Sus scrofa: one gene and its partners. The protein of the gene in region 1 purifies or fractionates together with the protein of each later gene. This does not show direct contact. Links are inferred from orthologs where the notes say so. Each region holds a gene or a part of one and is shown on either strand. Other genes may lie near its edges. The genes, in order: SNX4, SNX30 and SNX7.

Evidence for each region.
Region 2: the proteins of SNX4 (region 1) and SNX30 purify together in Homo sapiens (co-immunoprecipitation; 4 studies listed by BioGRID and IntAct, counting the BioPlex papers as one, with this or other methods). This does not show direct contact. The link is inferred for Sus scrofa from reciprocal best matches to the Homo sapiens genes SNX4 and SNX30.
Region 3: the proteins of SNX4 (region 1) and SNX7 purify together in Homo sapiens (affinity purification with mass spectrometry; 3 studies listed by BioGRID and IntAct, counting the BioPlex papers as one, with this or other methods). This does not show direct contact. The link is inferred for Sus scrofa from reciprocal best matches to the Homo sapiens genes SNX4 and SNX7.

Annotation. Positions count from the first base shown.
Region 1 is NC_010455.5:134,837,476-134,841,126, reverse strand, and holds part of SNX4 (sorting nexin-4), read right to left. Parts: intron 2,172-3,651; coding exon 2,050-2,171; intron 1-2,049. UniProt on the Homo sapiens protein: Involved in the regulation of endocytosis and in several stages of intracellular trafficking. Plays a role in recycling endocytosed transferrin receptor and prevent its degradation.
Region 2 is NC_010443.5:253,427,278-253,431,028, reverse strand, and holds the start of SNX30 (sorting nexin-30), read right to left. Parts: upstream 2,569-3,751; 5' UTR 2,253-2,568; coding exon 2,097-2,252; intron 1-2,096. UniProt on the Homo sapiens protein: Involved in the regulation of endocytosis and in several stages of intracellular trafficking. Together with SNX4, involved in autophagosome assembly.
Region 3 is NC_010446.5:119,217,816-119,221,466, forward strand, and holds part of SNX7 (sorting nexin-7), read right to left. Parts: intron 1,919-3,651; coding exon 1,720-1,918; intron 1-1,719. UniProt on the Homo sapiens protein: Involved in the regulation of endocytosis and in several stages of intracellular trafficking. Together with SNX4, involved in autophagosome assembly by regulating trafficking and recycling of phospholipid scramblase ATG9A.

The DNA of each region.
Region 1 (3,651 bases):
CAGCACCAACACCAGATCTTTAACCCACTGTATCACAAGAAAATTCCTCCTCTTCTTTTTTTTTAATGGCCACAAAAGGCAGGGCCTAGTCACTAGAAAACGTCTAAAGGCACAGAGATTTTCTTTAGACCCCAAACCACCCAATTTACCCAATCATTTAACAAATATTTACGAGTTCTCATCATGGCGCAGCAGAATCGAATCTGACTAGGAACCATGGGGTTGCAGGTTCGATCCCTGACCTCGCTCAGTGGGTTAAGGATCCTGTGTTGCCGTGAGCTGCTGCGTAGGTGGCAGACATGGCTCAGATCTGTCATTGCTGTGGTTGTGGTATAGATCGGCAGCTGTAGCTCTGATTGGACCCCTAGCCTGGGAACCTCCATATGCCACAGGTGCAGGCTTAAAAAGCAAAAACGAACAAACATAAAAAGCACATAATTGGTTTTACATGAAACATTTGATTTAACCCTGACAATAAAGTAGGTAGTATCATAACCCTCTTTTACAAATTAGAAGAATTAAGTAAAGACAACATATAGCCTCCCAAGCCATGGAGTCATTCTTACCTATTATTACATACAGTACTCTTACCCATTTTAAAAGGTTCATATTAGGAGTTCCCGTCGTGGCTCAGTGGTTAACGAATCCGACTAGGAATCATGAGGTTGCGGGTTCAATCCCTGCCCTTGCTCCGTGGGTTAACGATCCAGCGTTGCCGTAAGCGTGGCGTAGGTTGCAGACGTAGCTCAGATCCCTTGTTGCTGTGGCTCTGGCATAGGCTGGTGGCTACAGCTCCGATTAGACCCCTAGCCTGGGAATCTCCATATGCTGCAGAAGCGGCCCTAGAAAAGGCAAAAAGACAAAAAAAAAAAAAAAAAAAAAGGTTCATATTCTATGAACAGGAAAACAAAATCTCTGGAGAAATTAAATCAGCAACTTTATCAGAAAGAGAAAGACAAATACCATATGATATCACTTATAAGTGGAATCTAAAATATGGAACAATTGGAGTTCCTGTCGTGGCTCGGTGGTTAACGAATCCGACTAGGAACCATGAAGTTGCAGGTTCGATCCCTGCCCTTGCTCAGTGGGTTAAGGATCCAGCACTGCTGTGAGCTGTGATGAAGGTCACAGACAAGGCTCAGATCCAGCACTGCTGTGGTTGCGGTGTAGGCCAGCGGCTACAGCTCCAATAAGACCCATAGCCTGGAAACCTCCATGTGCCAAGGGTGTGGCCCTAGAAAAGATAAATAAATAAATAAATAAATAAATAAAATAAAACACAGAACAATTAAACCTATCTACAAAACAGAAACAGACTCACGGACATGGAGAACAGACTTGTGGCTACCTGGGGGACGGGGAGGGAGTGGGATGGACTGGGAGTTTGGGATTAGTAGATGCAAACTATTAAACTGAGAAGGATAAGCAATAAGGTCCTACTGTACAGCACAGGGAACTGTATCCAGTCTGCTGGGATAGACCATGATGGTGAAGGAGAGAGAGAGAGAGACAGAGTGTGTGTGTGTGTGTGTATAGGTGTGACTAGGTCACTGTGCTGTATGCAGAAATGATATGACACTGTAAATCAACTATATTTTAAATAAAAAATTTAAAAATAAAATCAAACAGAGACTTCAGCCTTATTCATTCTTAGTGTACTAAACTATTAATACTATAGGCAATTGCTAAATGGACTTTCTACTAGTGCCCCAAGAGTAGGTAATAAATGAATGATAAAAGTTCAACTTTTAGTTAATGTCAAGCTGTAGATCTGGCATTGCTGTGAGCTGTGGTGTTGGGTCACAAACACAGCTCGGGTCTGGCACTGCTGTGACTGTGGCATAAGCCAGCAACTACAGCCTGGGAACTGCCATGTGTCGCAGGTGCAGCCCTAAAAAGACCAAAAAAAAAAAAAAAAAAAAAAAACAACAAAAAATTCTCTAAAAAAACAATGACCTGTAAACAATTCCACTATACAACAGAATTTGCATCAACAACTACCAAAGCTTTTTCTAGCCAAACCTAGGCCTAATTCTCATCACTCACCTTGTTTCAATGAGGTAAGCAGTATATGTTTCTTGCATGTTCATGGCATTTCTTCCAGTTCGCTTTTCTGCTTCTGAAACACTAATTTCTATCTTCTTCAACCAAAAATTATTTTCTGTCATCTGAACAAAGGAAATGGAAGAACAACAAAAAACTTCAAAAATTAATATTGAAAAAAACGACCTATTAAAATAAAATCCATTATTAGTACATATTTCAAGCTACTTTCTTGAACTTCTTGAGTAGCTAGAGGTTGCTAAATGACAGCAACAAATGATATGCCCCTTATAATCAGCAGACTGTAGTACATTAAACTTTTCTAGATGCTATTTTAACAAGTACCATACACTCTAAAATGTAGGTAAGATAATAGGAGAAAAAATTAAAAAAAGATATTTCACATAAGTGACCAAGAATAAATGTATACAGAAATACATAAGAAAAAAATCTAAAAACATTGTATACAAAGATGAATGATCATCAATACTGATACCTAATCTTTTTATTTACCAAAGTGAACTCTCTCTTTCAAATATAAAATACGATATAGATGCCAAAAGGTTAGCTTTTCAGGTGGCAAGTTAATTTGGGAAAAAAAGTAGGAATTATCACATATTCAACTATAAATTTGCCTAAATATTTTCCCCTCCCTTTTTTGGCCACCCTGAGGCATACAGAGCTCCCAGGCCAGGGATAAGATCTGAGTTACAGTTTTCAACCTACACCTCAGTTGTGCCAATACCGGATCCTTAATCCACTGCACCAGGCCAGGGATCGAACCTGTGTCCCAGCACTGCAGAGATGCTGCCGATCCCATTGTGCCAGTGGGAACTCCTAAATTTGCCTAAATTTCTTCAGCAGTGGTTAACAGCAGTCTCCACTATGAGACAGCACAAGGATTTTTTTTTAATATTGTTTAAAATTTATTTTTTATTGAAGTATAGTTGATTTACAATGTTATTTTAGTTTCTGGTGTGCAGCAATGTGATTCAGTTATACATATATTTTTTTTTTTTAATGGCCACACCTGAGGCATATGGAAATTCCTGGGCCAGGGACTGAATCCAAGACACAGCTGTGACCTATACCAAAGCTGCAGAAACATCAGATCCTTTAACCCACTGCACCAGGTCAGGGATGGCACACACACCTCTGCAGCAACCCGAGCTGCTGCGGTCAAATTCTTAACCTACTGTGCCACAGCAGGAACTGCAACATGTATTTTTTCAGAGTCTATTCCACTATGGTTTATTACAAGATACTGAATATAGTTTCCTGTGTTATATAGTAGGACTTTATCTGGGACAGCAGGTTTTAAGAAGAGGAGACATCTTTCTTTTCTTGCTAGATCATCCCCAGGTTTGTATCAAAGCCCCAAAGAGACTGACAAACATACCACTGGTGGGTCATAGGCTACATGTGCAGGAAGTGTGCCAGTGAAGAAGGATCTTAATACACCCAAAGTAACTTCGACTATAAACACAGTGAGACTTGGTGCTAACTGCTGTGCTTTGGGTTTTTTCTCCCTTGTTCAGTTTCAAAGTTCAGAGGTATGTTTTAATTAAAAACACTGTACTGGAGTTTGTGTTATGGCTCAGGGGA
Region 2 (3,751 bases), on another chromosome or scaffold:
CCTAGCCCAGAACTTCCATACGCTGTGGTACAACCATAAAAAGAATGGAGGGGGGAAAAAAAAAAAAAGACTCTCTTTCATGGAACTGTCCCTGTAAAGGAAGCCAAAGATATGTGACTTAGGCATGACTTCCTGTGCACCAACTAGATCTTGGGGGTATGTGTCCTCCCATTAGTTAGTAGCAAAATGCCCACACTTCTGAATCAGATGTCCTCCAAGAATGGATCCTTAAGCAGCTATTTAAAAAGAGCCATCGGTTGTAGCCAGCCTCCAATGTGACCCCAATAATCCCCACCTCCTGATATCCACACCCTCTTCCCATGCTGTACCAATGATGGTCAATGTGACCTAGAGAATATGGCAGAAGAATGTCACTTCTGAAAGGAGCTTATACAAGACTGTGGCTTGAGTCTTGGGGTCTCTTCATCTCTTGGATCACTTGCTCCAGGGGAAACCAGTTGCCACATCAAGCAGCCCCATGAAGAGGAACTAAGGCCTGCCCACAGCCAAGTCAGTGTGCTTGGGAGCTGATCCACCCTCAATCCAGTCTTCAGTGAATGCAACTTCATGAAAGACCTGAGTCAAAACCACTCAGTTAAGCTGCTCCCAGATTTCTGACCCACAGGTACTATTTTCAGACGCAAGGTTCTGGAGTAATTGGTTATACAGCAGTAGATAATTAATTCACTATCCTACACAAACCTGAGAAAGAAATTGGAGGTTTAACTTCAGTTCCCCTCCTACATGCATGTAGCACCAAGTTCTCTGTCCTTAAAAAAGCATCAAATTACTCATTCAGTCATTCAGTCAATTTCATATTGAATGTCAAACATGGGCAAGGTATTTCCAAGTGATATAAGCCTTCATACGGTCTCTAATCTTCTATAAAATAAAGAGAAATACAAAGAGCGCCCTTCCAAACACAACTCAAGCTGTTCAATCCATTGCTTTCATTAGCTTAAGATGTCTCTTTCCTAATGCTTTGCCGACCCCTACCCCATCCCCAGCCCCGGCACTCTTTGCTTTCACAAACCCTCTGGGGAAGGTACATCTCCAGCTATTCTGACTGCTCAATGCACTCATACTCATTTTTACTGTACCACATGTCCTTCCATCTAAGAGGGAAAGAAAGTTAGGTTCCCTGATTCCATTTAATTTTGGGACAAGGAGGAATCCACTTAACTATTTTACTAGGACGGGACAAGCGTGATCACAGGGGTTGAGAACAATTCTAATTCCTGCAATTAGTGACTAAGTGGCAACAGTGGCGCTGATACAATCACAGCTCAAGTCCTGGTCACAGCTGAACTAGCAACTCTGCGGGGGGAGGGGGGACGCCGCCCCTTACCCCTCACCGGACTCTGCTGTCTCTCAAGGCAGCGGGAGGGTCATGCTGCTCTAAGGAAAACCAAGAGCCTCTCTCTACACAAAGAAGGTCAAAGGGCGACCTTTCTTTCCATCAAACACAAAACCAGCCTCTGCCAAACCCTAAACAGTGTGGGAGATCGGCAGAGGTGGATGGAGCTCCAAATAGGAAACCACAGGGATACGCTCCTCGCTCCTCCCGCAGCCAGCTGGGGTCTGAGTCAGGTGACTCCTCAGGGCACACAGCAAACCTAAACAAAGATCTCACTCCCCACAAGACAGAACGAGGGTAAGACGCCTCTGGCAGTGAGACCACGGAAAACCATTAACTCTTGCTTCTTGGCAATCCCAGCAAACTGGAGGAGCTACAAGTGACACGGTAGCTCAGCTTTCAGGGATGTGTCCGGAGGATCCGAGACCCCATCCCAGGACCTAGGACCTAGTACTGCACCCACGCCTCCGGCCACAACCGCCAGGCGGGACCCCTCCCCACCAGCTGTCACTGGCGCTCCCGACCAGTCACAGCCGGGCAATTCCGTCCCTTCTGTCCGCTCCCCCTGCGGCTGCGACCCCGCGGGGGCGGCAGAGAGATAATTTTCCCAAGGCTCTGGGGCGAGGGCACGCCTGCCCCCGGAAAGGAGCGCCAGGGTGGGCGCGGCCCGTGCCCAGTGGTGCTCCAGGTATCTCGTCTCCCTAGGGAGCGAAACGATTCCCAGTCCCACGTGCCCTACCTTGTCGCCGAAGCTGCGGGCCATCAGCAGGTCCGGACTGGGCGTGCTGTCGCCGCCCACGGCCTCCTCGCTGCTGGAGCCGGCCAGCGGGTGCGGCATGTCGCGCAGGGAGTGGGGCCCCGTGGACGGCAGGGCCTTGGGGGGCCTGCCCGACATGGCGCGCACCGCTCGGGACTCGCCGCCGCCGCCGCTTCCTCCTGCTGCCCGCCGCCGCGGGCTCCCCCAGCGCCCGGGCCAAGGCCCCGCTCGGCCGCGGCTCGGTCGGAGGCCCAGCACCAACCGGTCTGGAAGCCGCCGCCGCCGCCGCCGCCGCCGCCACCCGCGGGCTCCTGTCTGCCCGCGCTGGGTCGGCTGAACTGTGCTACCCAGCTCCGCGCCGCGCGCCCCGACTCTGCTCCCGAGCCCGTGGCGGGTCCGCTCGCACCTTGGCCCCGGCGCCAGCCCAGCCCGCACCGCCACGCCGCCCAGCCCGCTCGCGGCCCCGCCCCCGCGGCGCCCGGCCGCTCTGGGAGGGGGCGGGGGCGGGGAGAGGAGGGCGGAGGGAGGGGCACGGGGGAGGGGGGAGGCGGGCAGCTCCGCCCCCGGCCGCCGTCCCGCAGGAAGTGCGCCGGGAGCCCTCCGCCGCTGTCCTCCGAGAGTCCAGGCTCGCCTCCGGGAGGCCGGCCCTTGCAGGCTGCGCGCAGACCCCCGGAGCGGATATTTAACGGAAATCAGGGGTGGAGAAAGACGTTGGAGGATCTTGTTCCGTTCCACCGCGATCACTGGTGCACCCAGAGGCAGCCGCGCTTGGAGCTGGGGGCTTTAGGACACGCACGGGAGTGGGGATCTTCTGGCCTCTAAAATAATCCAAAATGGAAGATATTACGACGCATATTATAAGAATGGCGTAAAAAGATTATGAGGCTCCCAGGGGATCGAGAACATCGGGCAAGGAACCTGGAAGAGAATTCGAGGAGGCGTGTGGGGTTTCTTCCGATGCAAGATCCCCGTGGTTTTGCATCTGCGGGTCACCCGGGTTTATGTAAGGTTAAACCTCAGAAGAGTGAGCATCAAGAAATAAAGGCAGGGAGTGCTACCCAGGATCAATGACCCTTACACTCACACCTTGACCGAGGCTCCCGTTAGTTTTCATTCTTTTGTGCTTCCTTTCCAGGCCTTTGGCTGGGCTGGATTCTGAGGTTTTTATGTGCCAGCAGAATGGAGATTGCCAAAGCCTCTTGGCTCTTTGAAGTTTACCTCCTTTTTCCACCTTACCTGGCTTCACAGCTTCTGCGCTCAGGGCCAAGTCTGTAGAGGTCCTCAACCTGCTGTAAGAACAGGTCGATACTCACAAAGTAATGGGTAGAGGGGCCCGTTGTGAAGGGAGCACGTTTTTCTTTGCCCCTGTCGCCAAACACTGGGTTCGTCCACTTTCACCCGGCTAATCTTGAAGCTGGGATTGACTGTGGTCTCCACCGCGCTGTTTTTTTCTAGAATACCTCATCATTCTATATACTTCAGCAGGAAGAGAATGCAGAGGGTTTATGCTAACACACAATAACACCCAGGGATTCACGGAGCTTCAGAGACCTTACCTTGTTTTCTCTAGTGCAAGTCATCTGGCCTCAAGGCTTGAGTTCTCATCTTTTCTCTCCCCTATGTGGGTCTGTCTTGGT
Region 3 (3,651 bases), on another chromosome or scaffold:
CAGATGCTTTGTCTTCAGTGAGCCTATTATAATTTTATATGTCTATTAAAGCCTATCATAATTTAATACTTCTATTACCCCACTCTATTATGACTGCTTGCATAACTCTCATACTCCTAGGACATATGCTCCTTAAAACAGGGCTGAGTCTTATTTTTTAATCTCAAAGCCTAATACATAATGTATTTAATAAATATTTTCATATCAATGAAAGAATGATGAACAAAAGACTACTCAATGCTTGATAAGCCATTTATTCAAAAATTTGGATTTCATTTAAAATCTGTGTATTTTTATATTTTTGCTTTTACGCTATCAACTTTGAATGATAGATGGCTTTTCAAAGGCAGGGAATGTATACGCAGAGAGATTTTTGGTCTACTATTCATATCAACATAATTAAATTCTCTGTATTTAATCTTACTACTCATTAGGGTTAGTTGAAATATGTCATACTGCTCTACATTAAACTTTTTCCTAAACTATTAGAATTTCAAAAGTTTCCATGTTCAAGTAAACGGGAAAAAAAACTTTAAAAATGTAAAAACAATAGAAATATTAGTTGTCACCTAAGGAAGACATTAGGCTTAATGAACACGAGAGCCCCTCCAAACTGCACTCTCCCGATGCCATAATAGCTAATATTTCTAGAAAATAAAATGCTCTCCTTTATTTCTTCTCTCAAGTTGTGTGTATATCATTGTGTGTCATTAAACCCATGCAGTATTTACTTTTACATAGAGAGCTTCCTTGAAATTCTAAACAATGCTTAGATAGCACTTAAACCACCTTCGTGTGCAAACATTTAATGGGGGGGCATGGTAATTTGTCTGTTAATATAACTCCTTTGTCAACTAAGACTATGAGCTCAAGGGAGGTACTGTTTCATCACCCCTTTAACTCTTCAGCACAAAGCAGCAGCATAACATGTGGTCAATACATATTTGCCAAAGAAGCTGAGGAACACAAAATAAAGCAAAATCAAAGAAAACAATCGAATAAGATATAAAAAGAGAAACCACTAGTTATGATCTCCAGATCCTTCATGGTTTATGAATGAAATGCTCTATGTAGCTTAGATTCCCAAAACTACTTCTTAAAAAATTCCATTGTTTTCAATGACATCTTGACAAGCAGGTTTCACATCTGAAAGCCCAAGAAAGCCCTCAAGTTCGGGCCACTGTGCATTCTCCTTGAAAATGAGAGCTCAAAAAAAAAAAAAAAAAAAAAAAAAAAAAAAAAAAACAAAAAAAAACTAAACTTTTGTGAAGCTCCCAGTCCACGGGCACAGCCTCACTAAAAGCCTGAGACCCTCAGCAAGGATTCCGAGCACACTGCCCCTCCCCCACACCTCAGCACATCACCAACGCCTATTGCCTATTCACCGCAGTTCGTTTTATCGGTACATCATGTCCTGCTGCCATGAAAAAAGACATACAAGGCAGAAAACACAACTGAAAGAGAAAGCAAGCATCAGAACCAGCTTTGGCAGGGGTGCTGGAATTATCAGACTAGACTTTAAAATGACTCTGATTAATACGTTTAAAGGCTCTAAGAGATAAACAATAACAGATGGACACTAAGCAGAGATGGAAATCCTAAGAATAACTAAAAAGAAATGCTAAGCTGATGCTGTCTTGCTCCCACTACATCAATACATGTAAAAGATCCATCAGAAAGTCAACAACTTTGAAATCCCATTTCAGGGACTTTACGTACCCCTTTCTTCCTTGTAGATTCTCTGAGATATTTTATCTATCAAGTTTATTTTATGGCTAAATATTTCAATAAAGTTATTCATTTCCATGAACTCCTCGGGGCGGCTTTTAACTCCTCTCATTGACAATGCCACCGATCTGACGGTCTGCCCCATCCTGCTAAGTAATCCAGGCCCTTGCTTCTTGTGAGAAGAGAGCTCCTAGAAACAAACAAACAAAAGAAATACAGTATTTGTGATGAAGCAACAATGATATGCCAAGACCCAACAACAAAAAAGAAACTTAATTAGAAGAATAAAATAAAGATAATAACATGTTTCTTATACATCTTTTTGCAAACTATTGATTTGAAATAGATGAATTTAGGGTACAGGTCTCCTTGCTAATAATATTCCTTTTCAAAGTTCTCATGTAAAACACATCCACATGCTGCCTCAGAGCATGGATCTTCCAAGAACAGTTTAATTGAGGGGATCTTGCTTAAAGAGATACTGGAGAAGATCAAAAGGATGATTTCAGATGAACTCTAGATTTTATAACAGAAATTTAATAGAAAAATGATTAGGAGATTTCTCAGGGTCTAAACTATTCCCAAGAAGAAAAAAAAATGGAAAACTCCATTAATTCATTAGTTATAATAATAGCGAGCATTTATTAAGAGCTTAATATGCCACAGGTACAATACTTCCATTTTTTTATCTATATAACTCGTTAACACCATGAAATTTTATAATAATAATAGCTAACATTTACATATGTTGCAGGTACAATACTTGCTTTTTTTTTGTTTTTGTCTTTTTAGGGCCACATCCATGGCATATGGAACTTCCCAGGCTAGGGGTCCAATCAGAGCTGGAACTGCCGGCCTGCACCACACCCACAGCAAGGACAGATCTGAGTCAAGTCTGTGACCTACACCAGAGCTCACGACAATGCCAAATCCTTAACCCACTGAGTGAGGCCAGGGATCGAACCCACATCCTTATGGGTACTAGTTGGGTTTTTTACCACTGAGCCACAATGATAACTCCCTTGCATTTTTATATATGTAACTCACATTAACACTACGCAGTAGGTTCTATTATTACTCTCATCTTACAGAGGAATACAGAGGCGCAGAATGGTTAAAGTGCTTGCTTGAGGTCAAGAGCAATGCACTGGTGGACAAGGATCAGAGTCCCGCCAGTCTGACTGCAGGGGCTTCATTGCAAAGCCCTAACCTGCTTTGTCTTCTTTTTTGTTTGTTTCTTTTGTGCTTTGTCTTCTTAAAGTCACTAGCATGGCTGGCAAACCTGACCATCGCTCCTCAACCAACTTCCCTGGGTAAGCTGTGACTCTATCTCCACTGGCTATTTTTGGAGAGGGACTTTTAATAAAATATGTAACTAGCTGTTTCACAGTTAACCAAGGAGGGTGAGCTACAGGCTTGCAAAGTAGAGATGCTATAAAAGGCTACACCACACAAGAGCATCCCTTCACAAGGACCGCATACTAAAAAAGAACCCGGAGAAGGAGGAAAAGGGATTCTGATGATGGCTGTGGCACATGTTTCAATATGGGTTTGGGATCAAATAGAAGTTAAAGAACATATACACACACACAAATCTATACATAACAATGCTGACAACCAAATCCACAGATAACATTATATATTATTTACCCCAATATTAAATAACACATTATCTTTTGTCCAGACTTTCTTTCTTTTGTTGAGGTCTTAACACAAACTATATCAACTTGTTGATCTCCATGTCAGGATGATTTTGTGTGCAAATAATAACAGATGCCATCCCTGACCAGGCAACACAGCCATCCAGGAGTGCTACCACATCATCTGCTAGAGCAAAGCATTATCGGAAACAGCACAAGTCACAGGTGGCAAAGCTGTTACTGCAACTATTGATGGCAGAGAATGTTTCTGACAGCTTCTAAG